Linked DNA regions of Rhinolophus ferrumequinum. The protein of the gene in region 2 purifies or fractionates together with the protein of the main gene of each other region. This does not show direct contact. Links are inferred from orthologs where the notes say so. Each region holds a gene or a part of one and is shown on either strand. Other genes may lie near its edges.

The links.
Region 1: the proteins of TNS2 (region 2) and SNTB2 purify together in Homo sapiens (affinity purification with mass spectrometry; 4 studies listed by BioGRID and IntAct, with this or other methods). This does not show direct contact. The link is inferred for Rhinolophus ferrumequinum from reciprocal best matches to the Homo sapiens genes TNS2 and SNTB2.

Annotation. Positions count from the first base shown.
Region 1 is NC_046298.1:18,363,850-18,371,580, reverse strand, and holds the start of SNTB2 (beta-2-syntrophin), read right to left. Parts: upstream 3,558-7,731; 5' UTR 3,537-3,557; coding exon 2,957-3,536; intron 1-2,956. UniProt on the Homo sapiens protein: Adapter protein that binds to and probably organizes the subcellular localization of a variety of membrane proteins. May link various receptors to the actin cytoskeleton and the dystrophin glycoprotein complex.
Region 2 is NC_046293.1:53,007,738-53,015,550, forward strand, and holds the start of TNS2 (tensin-2), read left to right. Parts: upstream 1-4,631; 5' UTR 4,632-4,797; coding exon 4,798-4,929; intron 4,930-5,542; exon of another isoform or gene 5,543-5,852; coding exon of another isoform or gene 5,853-5,927; intron 5,928-7,632; coding exon 7,633-7,741; intron 7,742-7,813. UniProt on the Homo sapiens protein: Tyrosine-protein phosphatase which regulates cell motility, proliferation and muscle-response to insulin. Phosphatase activity is mediated by binding to phosphatidylinositol-3,4,5-triphosphate (PtdIns(3,4,5)P3) via the SH2 domain.

The DNA.
Region 1 (7,731 bases), on a different chromosome or scaffold from region 2:
TACCTTCCTCACTCAGACTTGGTTTTTGTTGTTGTTGATGTTGTTTACTGATATGTTCTAGTACCTAAAAAAGTGCCCAGCACATAAACTGTCAAGTCAATAACAACCTCTGAGGGAGGCATTATTACCATCCTGGTTTTACAGAGGAGGAAACTAAGATTTATTTAACAAGGTTGAGTAACTTGCCTAGGAGTTACAAACCACTAGCCAGAAACAAACCCAGGTCTCTCTGACCACGAAGACCTCATTTGTACTCTACCCTTACGGGGCAGAAATACCATCTTAATGTCCCTCCCTTGTGTGTCTTTACTGGTAGCAGCTTTCTCTTCTAAAGGGAAGGCTCCATTCAAGCTTCAATTTCTCCCTCAACCTTTTCCTGGGCATCCTCAACCTCTGATCCCTAATAGGGTCACCTATAGATCTCTCCTTCCCTTGTGCTGTGTCCTTTCCAGAGTTCTATTACAACAGTCCTTTGCTTTAGCCCTTTGCTGTACTTATTTCCTATCTCAACTCCAAACTCTCTGAGAGCAGGAGGTAGGTATCTTCGAATGTCTCTGGTACATTGTAGAGTTGGATAAATGTTAGATGTATGAATAAATAATCCCTATAAATCCATGAGATAAAAAGAACCCTTTAGCTCAGTTCCCTAACCACAGGCCAACAGAGACTACAGCTTTCCTTTGCTTGGGGGTGGCAAGGGCATGCTTGACATTCCCTGCCCACACCACAAAAGAGCATCACCGTGCTACGTTAAGGCAGTTTTTCAAATTTTGAGACATCTAATGAAAGGAGAACACAGATCCAAAACTTTAAGAGCTAAGCATAAAATCCATCTTCCAAAAGTGGCCTACCTGGTTAGGACAACAGCTCTCAATTTTAAATAGTTTGACTGGTTCAATTAAATCACTGTTTTCGGTGATTTTTGCTTATTCTAAGTAATTTTATTTTTATATCCGTTGGCTTGAAAGCGCAATTTCATACTTTCCTCCACATATAACGACAAAAACTGCTTGTTTTTTCCAAAATGGGAAAATAAAGTAGAACCTGTGTGCTAGGAAAAAAGGTATTCAGTAAATGTTTTGCGGCCGTTTGTAAACCCTTCTTCTAAAAGCATACGTGGCCCATTTTAGACTAATGAACACCGGGAAACATTTACTGGATGATTTTCATTTAATTGGTATGAATACCAGGTTCAAATTATATTTAAACAAAAACTGGGTGTTTTAAAAATATGGTGTAAAGAGTTAAAATGTCTACCCATCACCACTAAGTACTACATAAATAGTGCTATATTCAATATTCTGGCTCTAAGAATTTATAAGCAAATGCTTAGCTAAGCCCATTTCAAGGTACACGTTTAAGGTAACCATTTTCTTACATATACACCACCTGAGCCACAATCTGTAATTTTACTCCTTTTATTAATACTGATTTCCGAGCAGTGTCTAGCCCTATCTATAAGTGAGATATAAATAAGGTTTATAAATAGGATATTATAAAGGTGGGACACTGGAATTTCAAAACTGGATCACATTAAATCATTTACTTGCAAATTAATATTTTGCCAAATATTATAACTGCGATTTTGAAAAAAGTGAAAATCACTTTGCCAAGCTAGACTTCTGGCCTCTCAGTATGAGGACTGCTCACTTCCTACCCCTACTCCCCACCCCTCCTCAGTTCTTCCTCTGCCAGGAATACCCTCCTGACTCATCTCTGCCTATGTCCATCACTTCCTTGGAGAACTGGCTCAAGATTAAGCTCCTCCAAAGTCCTCTCTGACTAATCCTGACTTCCACTACTTTCTAACTTTGCATTCCCTTGGCATTTATATATATGTTGAACAACCTAATCAATAACTTGTAAGTTTTACATCTTTCTATCATTTTCTCAACTAGAGACCAAATACAGACATATCATCTTTTATATTCTCTTCTATATGGCCAGCAATAATGCTTCTTGAATGACTGAATCACCAATGAAAGAAAGCAAATGGCTCAAAAACTTCTCAAGTAAGCAACGGGCTTTTCAGATCACATTTACAATACCTTTCAATACAATACAATTACAATACAACACTTTACAATACAATTCACCTCCAAAATGCATGAGTCCTTCACGGGGATGAGATTTAATTTAGCCTTAGTTCCATAAATTCACCATAAAAGATCCTGGTTACAGACCACATATATGCTTAAGTAAATAATGATCCTGGTTATTCGAACATATCTTGCGATTTAACACTTCAGGTTTCTAAAGGCTTAAAGCCTTGCAGCAGCACTCCTGCGAATGGTAGGAAGCTGGCATCAGTCTCTTGCAAAAGGGGCAAAACTCTAGTTGGCAGTAAATATTCAAACACGTGAGCCTCCACTGTTAAACTAGGCTCATTAACCACACAAACTTGCTGTTTCAGCTTTCTGGCTTCAAGGAAGTGCTAAGATTTTCTTTGGTTATTGTTGAGAGCCAATGATGGGTTAAATTCCCATAAATTAACCAGCGTTTTGGTGGTTTGCCCAAGCATACCGCTGGCATCGGTGTGGATGAATTTTTAACAGACCCGCCCTCCCAAGGGAGCCAGAGGTGAGTGAAGAAAGCGCCAACCCGGCACTTCTTTAAGGAGGCAAAAGGAGACCTCCAGAACTCGAGTCCTCTAGTTCTTAGTATCAGCTTATTGTGCAGAGGCGGGGCTTCAAGCGCTGCTGCTTTTTACTAAATCTCAACCAACTCTTCTTTAGGGACTGCCACCCACACTTCGGCGGTTGCCCAACTTTTCCTGCAAGGAGTATCAGTTTTTCCATGCTCAAAGCCACAGCAATCCGGGTCTGGGGAGAGCCGGGGCACCAGAGGAGGGAAAGACGAGGCCTTGGAGGGGGAGGGAACGGGCTCGCCCCGCAAAGGGGGCAGGGTGGCAGAAACAAAGTGAACGCCGGCCCGCCCGCCCGCCGGCCCCGCTCACCCTCCAGCAGCACCTCCTTGCCCGCACGCTTCAGCGCCTGCACGGCCTGGTCGTGGGTGGCCTGGCGCAGGTCCGTGCCGTTGACCGACAGGATGGCGTCGCCCAGCCGCAGTGCCCGGCTCTGGTCCGCCGCCAGCCCCGGGAAGATCTTGGAGATGAGGATCGGCATCCGGTTCTCGCGGCCACCCTTGATGCTGATGCCCAGGCCGCCCGCCTCCTGCTTCACCACCCGCACCCGGCGCACGGGAGGCGACGCTCCCGCCTCGCTCGCCGGGCCCCGCGGCGGCGCGGGCGGACTTGGGGGGCCCAGGCCGCGGCTTGGGCTCCCCGGCAGCGAGTCGCCGGCGCCGCCGCCGTTCGGGAGGCCGTTGAAGGCGGCCGCCGCCGGCCCCAAAGCGGGCTCGGCCTCAGCCGCCGCGGCGTCGCCCGTCAGGCTCAGGCTCTCCCCGCTCAGTTCGGCCACCACCCGGACCCAGCGCTCCCTCAGGAGCAGCTCCACCAGCCCCGCTTTGGTGGCCCGCGTCCACACCGCCATGGCCGGCCCCGCTCCCGCCGCCGCAGTCGCCGCAGCTACCCTCATTCCAGTCAGGCAGCCTCAACGCTTCCCCCTTCCCGCCCGAGGGGGCGGGTCCGGCCCCTCCCCTGTAGATTCATTATTCATGAGAGACCACGCCCATCCCTGGAGGGGCGGGGAAAGGAGCCACTTCCGGGAGGTTAAGGAGTTGCTCGCACAGTCCGGTCGGTTGCGGCTCACTGGACGTGGGCTACAGGAGGCGGCGGGCTACATCTCACGTTCTCCTGTTCACCTCCGACGCCCCACCCCCCCAACTCTTGACCTGTACCGTGCGATTGACTTGAGCTGCCTTGGGCACGGAAAGCAAGATCAACTTCGAGAAGCACTTTGCAAGCCTGCAAGACTGGGTTGCACGTTCATTCTTGCATTGATTGGTTCATTCCGGATTTACTGAGGGCTCCACCGCTGTGTTCCTTTTGAGGCTTAGAAATGAGCTGAGTAACATGTACCACAAATGAGAGTTAGCGGTCTAGTGTGGGAGGAAAGCGAAGACCCAACCAACCTGGTGTGATACTATGTGGTTAGATGACATATAGAAAACGCCCTGAGAGCAAAGTAGAAGAAACCTTCAGTTAGGTCTGGGGTCAGCTTCACAGAGGTGACAATGGAAGGTGAATAGGGGAGCAGAGGAAACGGCATAAGCAAAGGTCCAGAGACAAGAATCTGCTTTGTTATCACCTGTTACTTGCCTGTAATAGGTAGAGAGGGGACCGTGTCTTCTTCAGCCCTGCAACTACAATAGGTAGGCCTCAAATATATTTGCAGAATGGTGGTTACCTAGGAAGATGCCAAGATTCCCATGTGAACAGAGCATAGGATCAGTGGAGTCAGCAGGATGAGTGTGAAAAGCCTCATATAATTAAATATCAAAGAGTTTGGGCTTGGGTTTGCAGATCTGACTTTTCTTATCCTGGAAGCCGTGGCCTTTTGTTGGGGCAAATGGGTGGCTCCAGAAACTATGCAACCTGCAGAGCCTGCAGCAGGTTTTTCCCCCAGCTTCATGGGCTGGAAGAACTGAGGAAACAGGCCCAGGGAGCCAGAGACTCTGGCTTCAAGTCCACAATGAGGAAGCAAACTCAGTCAGGTCTCCTAGCTTCCTGGTCCAGTGCTTTTTTTTTTTTTTTTTTAACATAACTCAGATCTCAAAAATGAGCGTCCAGAAATCACATTGCTCAAAGATCTCAGCAAAAAACGTGAGATCAAGGTGCCCTCTAACTTTCCTTCAGCAGTAAAAGCGAAATCCCCATGTTTTTATGGGGGGAAAAGAAGGAGGGCTGCAAGCAGAGGGAGTGTACACCAATTCCTGTAAAAGGGGCTGTATACTTGCTTGCTCATGAAGTACATGTTGAAGCTCGTAAGCCATGTCCATGCACCACTCTGTAAATGCATATCCGTGTATGGGCAAAACTTCCGATACCAGGAGTTAAAACAATAAAGAGAGACTGGAAAGCACCCAGAGCCCAAATGAAGAAAATTCAAAATGTGAAAAGTATCTCACCGAAAATATCATTACAGCAGAATCCTCTTTGCAATTAGTGGAGCAGGATTTTCCAAACTGCAAACATCAGCAGAAGCTCAGTCCTCCAGCCCTCTCCTAAATCGACTGCAGTGAGGCCAGCTTGCTGTTCTGGCAGGTCCTGATGTGCCAAAGTGACCCTATAGTCATAGACATTTCTGGCTTTGCTCCAGCTGAGGTGTGAGCCCCCCGAGGCCTGAGTTATGTGACATTTCTGCTTTTTACAGACCACTTGGCAGCTGAGTCCTTGGGGTCTGAGCACTATTTTGAACACTTTTATATATGTAACCACCCAGAGGTTGGGCACTTGAGGATACCTTTATTAGCAAAAGGGAAATGCTGGAAATTCTTTCCAAAAGTATCAAGACCTTTAGGTCAATAGAGTTGGAGGAAATCGTAGATCTTCTAACCAAATAATAAATGAAGGCACTTATATAAGACAATAGTTATGTAACAAAATATTTAACCCTGGAAAGAGAGAAGGTAATGAAGATTGGTATTTGGATTACTTGGAGGTTTTCACTTATTTTTAAATATATCCATAAAAAATTCCCAAACTATCAAGATGTTTTTACAAGGTTCTCCATCAGAACCTAAATTAATTTTCAACAATCTCTTTCATCACTACTTTTAGATCAGCCAGACTCATCCAGTGTCTCCCAATGATGCCTTGCAAATTCCCACCTGAGTCCATCCTTCCAAACACCTTCTGCCCCTTTCAGCCACCTTCCCACCTAGTAAGATCTCATCCCAGTTTTCCTTATCTACCCAATCTGTTGGGGTTTTTGCTTTGAACAATTTTATGCCTGGCTGGTTTGTCCAAACAGATGTTAAAATACAAAAGGGCAGGACCACCCACCGACTTCTATTTATTCCCCATTATTCCAAAAATATTGCCTTGTAGAAAAGGAACTCATAAAACATGTGATTGATTGAAATTCAGTGCCTCCTGCGCAGTAGTCATTTCAAATAATCCCTCTGAAGGTTACTGGTTCCTTGCAGAGTGAAAATTACCATCAAGGAAATCTCAAGTAGTCAGTGGAAATCTATTTATGGTGGATAATGAAATCTGAAATAAAGAGTACACATGGCCTCTTTAAGGACGGTGAGAAAAGCTTAGAAAATTTTTGAACAGGACTGTTATTTTATCTACCTCTAAAAAGGAAATGGTTGAGATAATTCCCAATAACCTTCCAATCCTGCCATCTATCAATATGGGTTCTCCTCTGTTCAAACTGTTATCTTACTTTTTCTCAGAACAAGGCAGGGATCTTTGTTGCTTTAAAATGAGGGGGTTAGATTAGCTAGCTTCAGTTCCATAATTTCCTACAATTCTACGACTCAGGCTCTGATTCTAAGCCCTCTCAAAACCCAATGTTTTTTGTCCTTTTCTCTCATAGTCGATGCATAATTTAGCATGGCAACTAAGAGCACAAGGTTCAAATTGCAGTTTGGCCACTTACTAGGATATGACAATGGTCAAGGGGCTGAGGACATCGGCCTTAGTTTCTCCTTTGGAAAAATATTCAGGTATGTTCTACCTCTAAAGGTGGCTGACTGGGATGACGTGCAAAGCACGTAGCAGCACTGCCTATAAAAACGTAGCTGCTGCTGTTATTATTACCTGTTGATCTTCAGCTTCAGCATCAATAGTAAAACCTTTGGTAGAAACTGAGAGTCTATACTTTATCTAGGAATGGGTCTACCATGATACCATTTGATTCCAGGCTTAAAGGGCAAATGGCCAAATTAATTTCAGTGACAAACAGATCTTGCATAAAACTACACTTTGGCTGAAAGGGAGTACATATTGCCAAGAGTCTGTCAAAGGAAAGAATTAGTAGATCTGGGGCTTGGTCCAAGGTCTGAGTGTTGTGTAATTTCATAAGGAAGGAGGGCCCCAGGCAAAATTGCAGCCCTTAGCAAGCCTGAAGGTCACTACCACAAAGGTGGCCTAATGCCAGAGAAACAAAAGCAAGAGCCACTCAATTACTACCAAAGAAGAGGCCGAAGAGAGAAGTTTGTAAGATAACAAATTCAACATCCAACTTTGAAAAATTATGCATGCATAACTCTTCCCCAGTTAGAAGACAGTGAGATCAATTGTCCTTTTCAACAGGCAGTACTCCTCTGCCTTCCAGAAATATCCTAAAATGTTTTTCTCCAGCACAAATATGAAGCGAAAAGAGGGAAAGATGCATATATCCTTTAGCTGATGCAAGCACATTTTAAAATTCATCCCGCCAAGATAAATCACTATCCATTTGAAACCCACAAAAATGGATTAACTATCTCATGCTTTATGACTATAAAAACCCACATCTGCTAACCACATTACTAATGAGAAGCAGCTGGTGACAGTTTTGTAGCTCTGTGACTTTCTTTTTAGGAAAATATTAGCAAGGACACACTAAGCAGAAGGTTAGTTTCATGGAATCCACTTAGTTATGGAAAATTACCAGTGTTTTTTATTGACAATCATGGAAATTACATAATTTGCCATGAAATTCAAATGAGATCCCAAAATAAAAACTTCCTCACCCCCAATATCAGTTCTAACAATTTCCAGTACCTCGTAAGACTTGCAATCTTATAGTCAGCTTCAACTCTGATTTTTCATATACCATCGAACACCAAATCATGTTTATTGATGCATATGATATTTCTAGGCCTTCGTCCCACAGC
Region 2 (7,813 bases):
GAGGGTAAAGTCAAGGGAAAGGTAGGTGCTGCTGTGCCGCCCATCCTTGGTCATTACAAGGATGTGTGGACCCCCCTCAGAAGCCCTGTGGCAGGAATGATCCCAGCACTGGTGAGCAGACAGCCTTGATACAACCTGCGGTAAATCTCGAGCGACCAGAAGGTCGTGGGTATGGCATCCTACTTCACAAGGGTGAACTTAAGGTTAGTTGGGTCCCATCTGTATAACAGGCCACGTAGCCTAGTTTCTTCTAAACAGAATCAAGCACTAGGCTCTGGATCCCAAGACAGCAAGGGTCCCAGTTTGTGCTGAGGGCATCACCTCAAGTGCTAAGTGAGCTCACAGCATCTGGTTTCTCAGGAAGTGGGAGAGCTACACATCTGCTCTTGGGAAGCATTATTTCTCAAATAAAATACTGTTTCTCAGCAACCATTGTAGCCCCTAGGGCCACAAATGAAGGGAGGACTTGTCTACCCTCACCCTCCCACCTCACCAAAAAGGAGTTTGGAAGAGGCGAGCTGTGCTGCTCCCCGCCCAGCTGCAGCAGCCTCCCAGTTGGACAATGCACAGTCCTCAGCCAGGAGATCCGCCTCGAATCAGCTTGGCCCCTTCCCCTGCTCTTCCTGGTTCCCAGCGCCCAACCCTCTACTGAAATTTCCCTGACCCAGTGCTCTTCCGACCCTCAGTGCCCTCCTATAGTCCCCCAACCCGAGAATCTCAGCGCATTCGGTCACAGGCATGGGATCACCCCAGACCGTGAAAAACGGGGTTCAGCCTTTCGTGCCAAAATGGGCTGCCCTCTGCATAGTCAAGGTAAGAAAACCTGCATGGAGGCTCAGAGGGTGTTCCTACGATTCTTTTTGAGCTTTACTAACATTACCCTGGCTTCCCTCCCTTTCCCCTTCCTCTCTGTACCTGCCTGTCCTCAGGATGCCTGGCTGGCTCCATGTGCCACTCATTTTTATTTCACTCCCAAGCCACCTCCTGTATAATGTTTCACTCTCAACTTCTCTTCAGTGTCCCTCCTGCCTTGGTCCTCACTTGAGAGTAGGCATCAAGTCTGAGCTGGAAGTTCAGCTGCCCATCTTGTGACCCTCTCAATTCCTTGGAATCTCAAAAAGGGTTCTTCTTTAGCGGCAACAACGCCAGCTTGTGTGAGGCTCTAACGCTGCCACTGTCCTGGGATCCAATCAAGTGCCTCTTCTCTGAGTCTCCCCCAGTCTCTCCTTTGGTACCTTGAGAGATTAGAACCTACCCCCTTAGCATGTATCCCAGGGCCCAGCCAAAGACATAATGAACTCTGAGAAGGGCAAAGTGTTAAAAGAAGTAGCATACACTCCAAAGAAATGAACAAATTTTCATATCCTGCATCTTGATTATAGTATAATCAAATCTTGTCAAAATCCATAGAATGACCTTCAGCCCTGCCCCTACCCCAGTAGCCTTTGATCCCTGTTGCTCTCCTAACTCCAGCCTTTCCTCTCCTCCCAACCTCTTCCCTCCCCAGCTCCACTCCAACCTCCCCGCCCCTCCTCCAGACTCCAGTGACTGCTGCACTTTCTGAGGCTGCCTACTGGACACCAACTCACACGAGCAGTAAGATCAAGGCTCCCCAGTCCCAGCCACATCTACCCCTCCCAAATGCCAGTCTCTGGGGGGACCCACACTGTCACCATGCGCTGTTTCATAGCCTTTTCCCTACTGCCTTATTGAAATCGGGGATCCACCCCTCATAATCAGAAGCAGAGTTCCCAGCCTTTGCCAAAGGCAAGATGAGCACAGAAAGGATGGAGGGCCTTAAGAGCTGAGGGTACTGGCTGCTTTGAGCAGGCATTGGGCATTGAGCCCTGGGCACTGGCTCCTCAGACAAACACCTCCCCCCCCCCCCCGTCCCCCCCCCCCCCCCCCCCGGTTTTCATCATGGAAAATCTAGTGGGGAGGGGAAGGGAGGGAGAAAGTTTCAGGAAGTGCTCACTGATAAAGAACACTGGGGAAGCTGGGATTGGGAAAAGATTCAGAACTTCTAGAAAGACATCCATTCCCTCTACCTTCCCCTCCAGGGTGGCACAAACTCAAACCAGACCCATGGCCCATTAGCTGAATTCCAGGAAGTTTCTATTCCCGTGCTAAGTCCAGACACTGCAAAAGATGGGAATAAGTTTAGACCACAGAATGAACTTCCACGTTCGTTGGAAAGCCTGGGACTAGAGTTGTGAGGAAGACTTTTTAACGGAAATCTCCTAGGGAGTGGGAGTGACTGTCCAGCTCCAAAGCAGGGCGATGGATGGGCTGACGACCCGCTTGGTGGTGGTGATGAGTGGGGGGGTCCTCAAGTATGAGTCCTTTGGGGAGAATAGGTGACACCTGAGAAGCCTCCCATGAGGCAGAGGACCAGGGAAAGTGTCCAGAGACTTGGAACCCACAAGTGACACCAAGTATCTTCATCTGAAGCTAGTGCCCCCATGGGTAGGTGGCACTAGCCCCACAGGGCCCAATCTCAAATACACTCCTGTGGAGGGGCCCGGCTGAGAGAAGCCAAGGCAGTTCTCTGTACTCTGTTTCCAGTGCCTTCTGGACCTATGTCCACCTTTTCTTCTGAGTCTGTCTGGCTCGTGTGGCTCTTTTGGCCTGTATCCCGCTGGGTCACTCCCCATCTCTGAGATTTTCCTGTCCCTGTGTCCTTGGTGTCCACCTTGCTCAAAATCTCTCCCCATCTGTCTCTTTCCGTCTCCGAGTCTCGGCGTCTCAGCGCTCCTTCTTCCTCTCAGCTCTTTATGAGCGGGGTTCGCAGAAGAAGGTGGGGAGAGAAAAGAGAGAGGAGGAGGGCGGGGGGCGGGAGCGGGCGGAAGGTGGGGATTGGAGCGGGGCAGGAGGGAGGGGAACAGCGCCGGAGGGAGGAGAGTGCGGCGCGGGAGCGGCGGGGCGGGAGGGAGCCCAGGAGCGCGGCGCCCGCTCCCGCCTCCAGCGCCTCCCGCGCGGCCGCTCGGCGCGGGCCCGGCTAGGATGGGCTGGCTCGGGGGCTCCCCCTGCTGCTGCCCCGCCCCGCCGCGCCCCCGCCCCGCCGGGCGCCCCCCGCAGGTGAGTGGCCGCGCCGCGCGGAGCGGGAGGGCGGCGGCTCGTGCGTCACGGCCGGGGAGCAGTGCCGGGGGCGGTCGCCAGGGGGCGCGGGGCCGCCGGGGCTCCAGGGGAAGCGGGCGGGCGCCGGGCTGGGGTCGGTGATCGGAGATCTGGCGGGCCGCGGCGAACTGAGACGGCTGGCTGCCGGGAAGGTGCCCAGGGGGCGGGGCGCAGGCCGCGGTCACACTCTAGTTGGGGCCGTCACGCCTTCGCCCGCCCTGGTGCGCACACGCCGCCTAGGCACGGTGCTGCTCCTTCCCGCCACGCACCCGCGCGCGCCCCGCACCGGACGCCGCTCTTCGAGTACAGTGGGGCACGTTCTTCCACATGCGGGCCCTGTAGCCAGGCGGGAACTGGCGGCCGCGCGCGGGCACTGGCCTGGGAGTGCGTCTGCGTATTTTCCTTTTCTACTTCACATCTGGGGAAACTGAGGCAGAAAGCGGGAACAGATGAGGCTGATTTGACTTTCCAGCCCACTCGTCAGCCCCCTTATGCTGCTACTCTCAATTCTCCAGCTCCCTCTGGGCACACCCATGTACCCCGCCTTCCTCCCTCTCTCCTTCGCTGGGCCTCACCCCTCCTCCGTGGCGGCCGGGCTCCCAGCCTCTCATCCAACCACAGCTATTTCCAGGAAGGGGGAGTGTGGGTGGAGGGGTTTCTCCAAACAAACCTAAGGCTTCGGAGTGTGAGGGGGCCAGCCTGGGGGAGAGGCTGACAGGCTCTGGAATGTTCCAGGCAGGAGAAGGGCGAGGGTCCTTGGGGGTCTGGCCATGCCTTCCCAGCCCTGCCGCAGTGAGCTCGTTTTCCTCCCAGCACCGCTGAGGGATCAGCACTCTTGTCTCCATCTTCCCTCAGAGGTGTACCAAGGGTGGGGAGGGTCTCAAAGCCATGCTTCCCTGGCCTCCCAACACCCGGGTTAGTGAGCCTCCCAGAAGAGTGAGGGTCAGAGGATGAGGGTGACTGCTAGGTGAGGGGACTTTCAGCCCCTCTGGAGGCAGCAGGAGTAGAAAGAAGCATCTGGAGGGGTCCAGGTCAGGGTATGTGCAATAGGAACAGAGAAAGGCCACCCAACCTACCACAGTGCCCCTCCTCCCCCAGCAGGGCTGGGGACTGGACACCAGGCCCAGTTGCCCACACTGGCCAGGGGCCTGGAATGTCCTGGGACCCAGCCAGAGCTGGTGGGTTGGGAGTGGGTTGCAGAGCCAGTGCCCCTCTCCAGTTACAGGCCAGGGGCCCAAGCTTTTTCACACAGATGCCTCCCTCTGGCCAAGGTACCCTGGGGACAGACTTCCTGACCTGCTAGGAGAATTAGACCATCAAGGGAGAAGCCCAGGCAGATCCAGGGAAGTGTCCTCAGTGAGCTCCCATAAGATGGCTCATCCCAGAGAAGGCAGGGCACGAGGGAGGGAGAGGGAAGTCTAAGGACCTGGTGGGAGATGCCAGAGCTGGGGGAGTTGCCTGAGCTCTGGGACATTCAGTAAATACCATGCAAATGAAAGAGGAATATTTGCACATTGTTTCAAGTGACAGCTCTTGCTGGTCCAAGGGGCTGCTGTCCAAGGCTTGGGGCTGAGGACCCCCAGGCCATTAACCCCTTAAATTTTCGGAAGATTCCTACCCCCCTTTCCAAGGCCCCAATCCACCTCCTCCTTCCCTTGACTCCCGGACAGGAAGTTGGCCATGTTCCCAGGAGGGAGGCAGGAGGCCCATAGAGGGGGGTGGAGTATGTGTTGGGAGGGGGGCCTCCTGTCCAGTCCTCAGGTCCTGGGACAGCTGCTGAGGAAGGAGAGCAGAGACAGGAGAGCCATGAAGGTAGTACTCAGGCTTTGGGGGAGGAGGGCGGCCCTAGGGCCTGAGGTGGAGGGCCTAAGTGGCCGGCTCCAAAGAGGGGCTAGGGGTCTAAGAGGTCAAGCAGAAACAAGCCCAGGGAATGAGTGAGGAGGGGAATGTGTCAGGAGCAGAGCAGCTGCAGGCTCTCAGGAGAAGGGCCTCAAATGCCTTGGGCTGTGGCAGGAGAATGGATCACTCCTGTGGGCAAAGCAGTTTTCTGGCTGCAATTTGCCTTCCAGTGTGAATGGGGAGAGGGGGGAGAGGTGCATGTTTTCCTTTCCTTACTTTCACAACCAGTGAAACTGAGGCAGGACACTGGCCCTCCGTCCCATTCTCCCTGACCCTCAGGATGCACTCCCAGTCCTGGGCTGGCTGGCGTAGTGAGTCCCAGCTCCCCTCCCTCCCCACTAGAAGTCCCCAGAGAGCCTACGGGTTCAGACTGGGAGGCTGTCCTGGCCAGGACACGGTGTTCCCCACTGGTCCCTGAGCCCTGCCCTGAGACCTCAGTTCCCACCCTGCCCCCACGCTGTCCCGCCCCACCGGGGGCTGGATCTCAGGATCCCAGCAGATCCTGGATGGGGTGGCTCCTGGGGCCTGGGGCAGCCCCAGAGCGGGGCTGCGGGGTCAGAGGATCCTGGGCTGACACTCCCAGCAGGGTAGATCCTGGGAATCTGATCTCCTGGCCTCCGCCACATCCTCCCCCCACTTCCTGGAGCAGCGACCTGCCCCCTTCCCGCCTGTACTCCCCTCCGCTTCCAGGGCTGGGCTTCTCCTCACACCAGCCAGACAGCCTACCCTCCACCCAGGGGAAGCGGCTGCCTCCGCCAGGCCGCTTCCAGGAAGCCCCGGGCCAGGCCCCAGCATTGTTCGGGCCCCGCGGCCGGCACCCCAGCCAGCCGGACACCATGAAGTCCAGCGGCCCCGTGGAGAGGCTGCTCAGAGCCCTGGGGAGGAGGGACAGCAGCCGGGCCACCAGCAGGGTAGGAGTGCCCACCAGCTGGGCAGAGGCGGGGCAGGGGTGGAGGTGGGGAAGGGGGCCAGGACACAGGCCAGACCCTCCACCTCAGCCTTCTCCCTTTGCTCATTACTCTGCCTCTTTGGGGTGGCCAGGGCTGTGGTATGCACCATAGAAGTTTGGGTTTGAGCAGAACCTGGGGTCTGTTTTGGCTCTTCTATCACCTCCCTGCCCTAGCCCATACCAACTCTGGGGGTCCTGATCCCCTACACCTATGTCCAGGTACATTTCATTGTAGGACCTTTCTGGGTACCATCCTGGGAACCCCAGAGCAGGGCTAAGAGATCAGGCATCTTCCCTGAGCCAAGATGTTTGGGGAAAATGGGGGGCTGGGGGTGGTGAAGGAAGGGAGGGACGTGGCCAGGTCTCAGGAGTGCCTTAGACACTGGAGGGTTGCTTTCACTGACATCATCTGTATATGCCATTTATGCTAGATGTACCCAAGTTTCCTAGTGGGTCCAGCACAGTTGGTCCAGCACAAGAGAGTTCAGTTGCTGGCTTAATCTAGCTGCGTCAGGGACACTGCCAAGAGACAAGAGGTGGGGCCTGGGTCCCCAGGCCTGGGGGGGGGGGGGGGGCCTGGAGACCCCATCACTCCCTTTCTTTACTTGCTCAGGCTTACCCCAAAAGCAGCAGCTCAGGGCAACATGAGACACTACTATAAAAGGGGGATGGGGCAGGAACTTGAACTTCAGAGGTGGAGAAAAATGGGTAGAAGAGAGGAGGCAAGGAAGCAAAAATGGTCCCCAGACAGGATGGAAGGAGTGAATCACAGTGGGAGGCGTGGGACTGCGTGTGAGGTAGGCCTGGGCCTTCAGGGGGCATCCCAGCCTCCTGCCTCACTGCACCTCTGGGTGGGGAGGGGCCCAGCCCAGCATCTGGTCCACCCCGCTACTCCATTCAATGCTGGAATCCTCACTTGAATGTCCTCAAATGACAGGGTGCTCACTACATCCAGAAGTAGCAAGACAGCTAAATATTTTCTCCAATGTCATGCCTCTGTCTGCCTCTCCCTCCAGCATTACCACCCACCTCCTTACACAACTGCTGCCTGCCGCCTCAGTGCACAATGAGTAAACATGTTGTTCTTGGGGGTGGGGGTGGGGGTGAGGAAGGCATGTCAGCTGCCTAGAGCAGGACAGCAGGAGCCAGGGGATCAGGACTGACGGAGGCCACTCCCATCAGTCAGTCTGGGTGCTGTGACTGACAGCCTACATTCTTGTCTGGACCCCCTGCTGTTCACTCTGCACAAGGGCCTCCATCGGGGAGGGCAAAATTGAAGGAGAAACGGGGGCCCTCATAGAGGAGAATCAGAGAGTGCCCCCCCACCAAGAGGAAAGTTCTTGTGTTTGGGGTGGCAGTGACCACAAGGGTATCACACACCAGAGCCACGTGAGGGGCCTAACTGATCCCTTGGGGAGGAGCTGACCCAGTGAGGGTGACGCAAGAGGCCAGATTCCATGCACTGTTGAGGACAGCCCCCACAACTGGCCGGAAACAGCAGTGGCCAAGTGTCCCACGGGTTTGGGGACATTAATCATTTGGGGACTTTAATCAGGATGGAGGAAGAAAGGAACCAGTGCGGTGCTAAGGCACTGGCCCAGTCTCCAGATGGGTCTGCTGGGAACAGATACCCCTGTCTGAGTCTCTGCCCCTCCACCCCTACCTAGCCTAGGAAAGCCGAGCCACATAGCTTCCGGGAGAAGGTTTTCCGGAAGAAACCACCAGTCTGTGCAGTGTGTAAGGTGACCATCGATGGGACAGGCGTCTCATGCAGAGGTGAGGCACCCTGTTCTGGGACTCCGAGAGCCTCTGCCCAGCACCACTGTGTTGCACAACTCCAGCCGCACA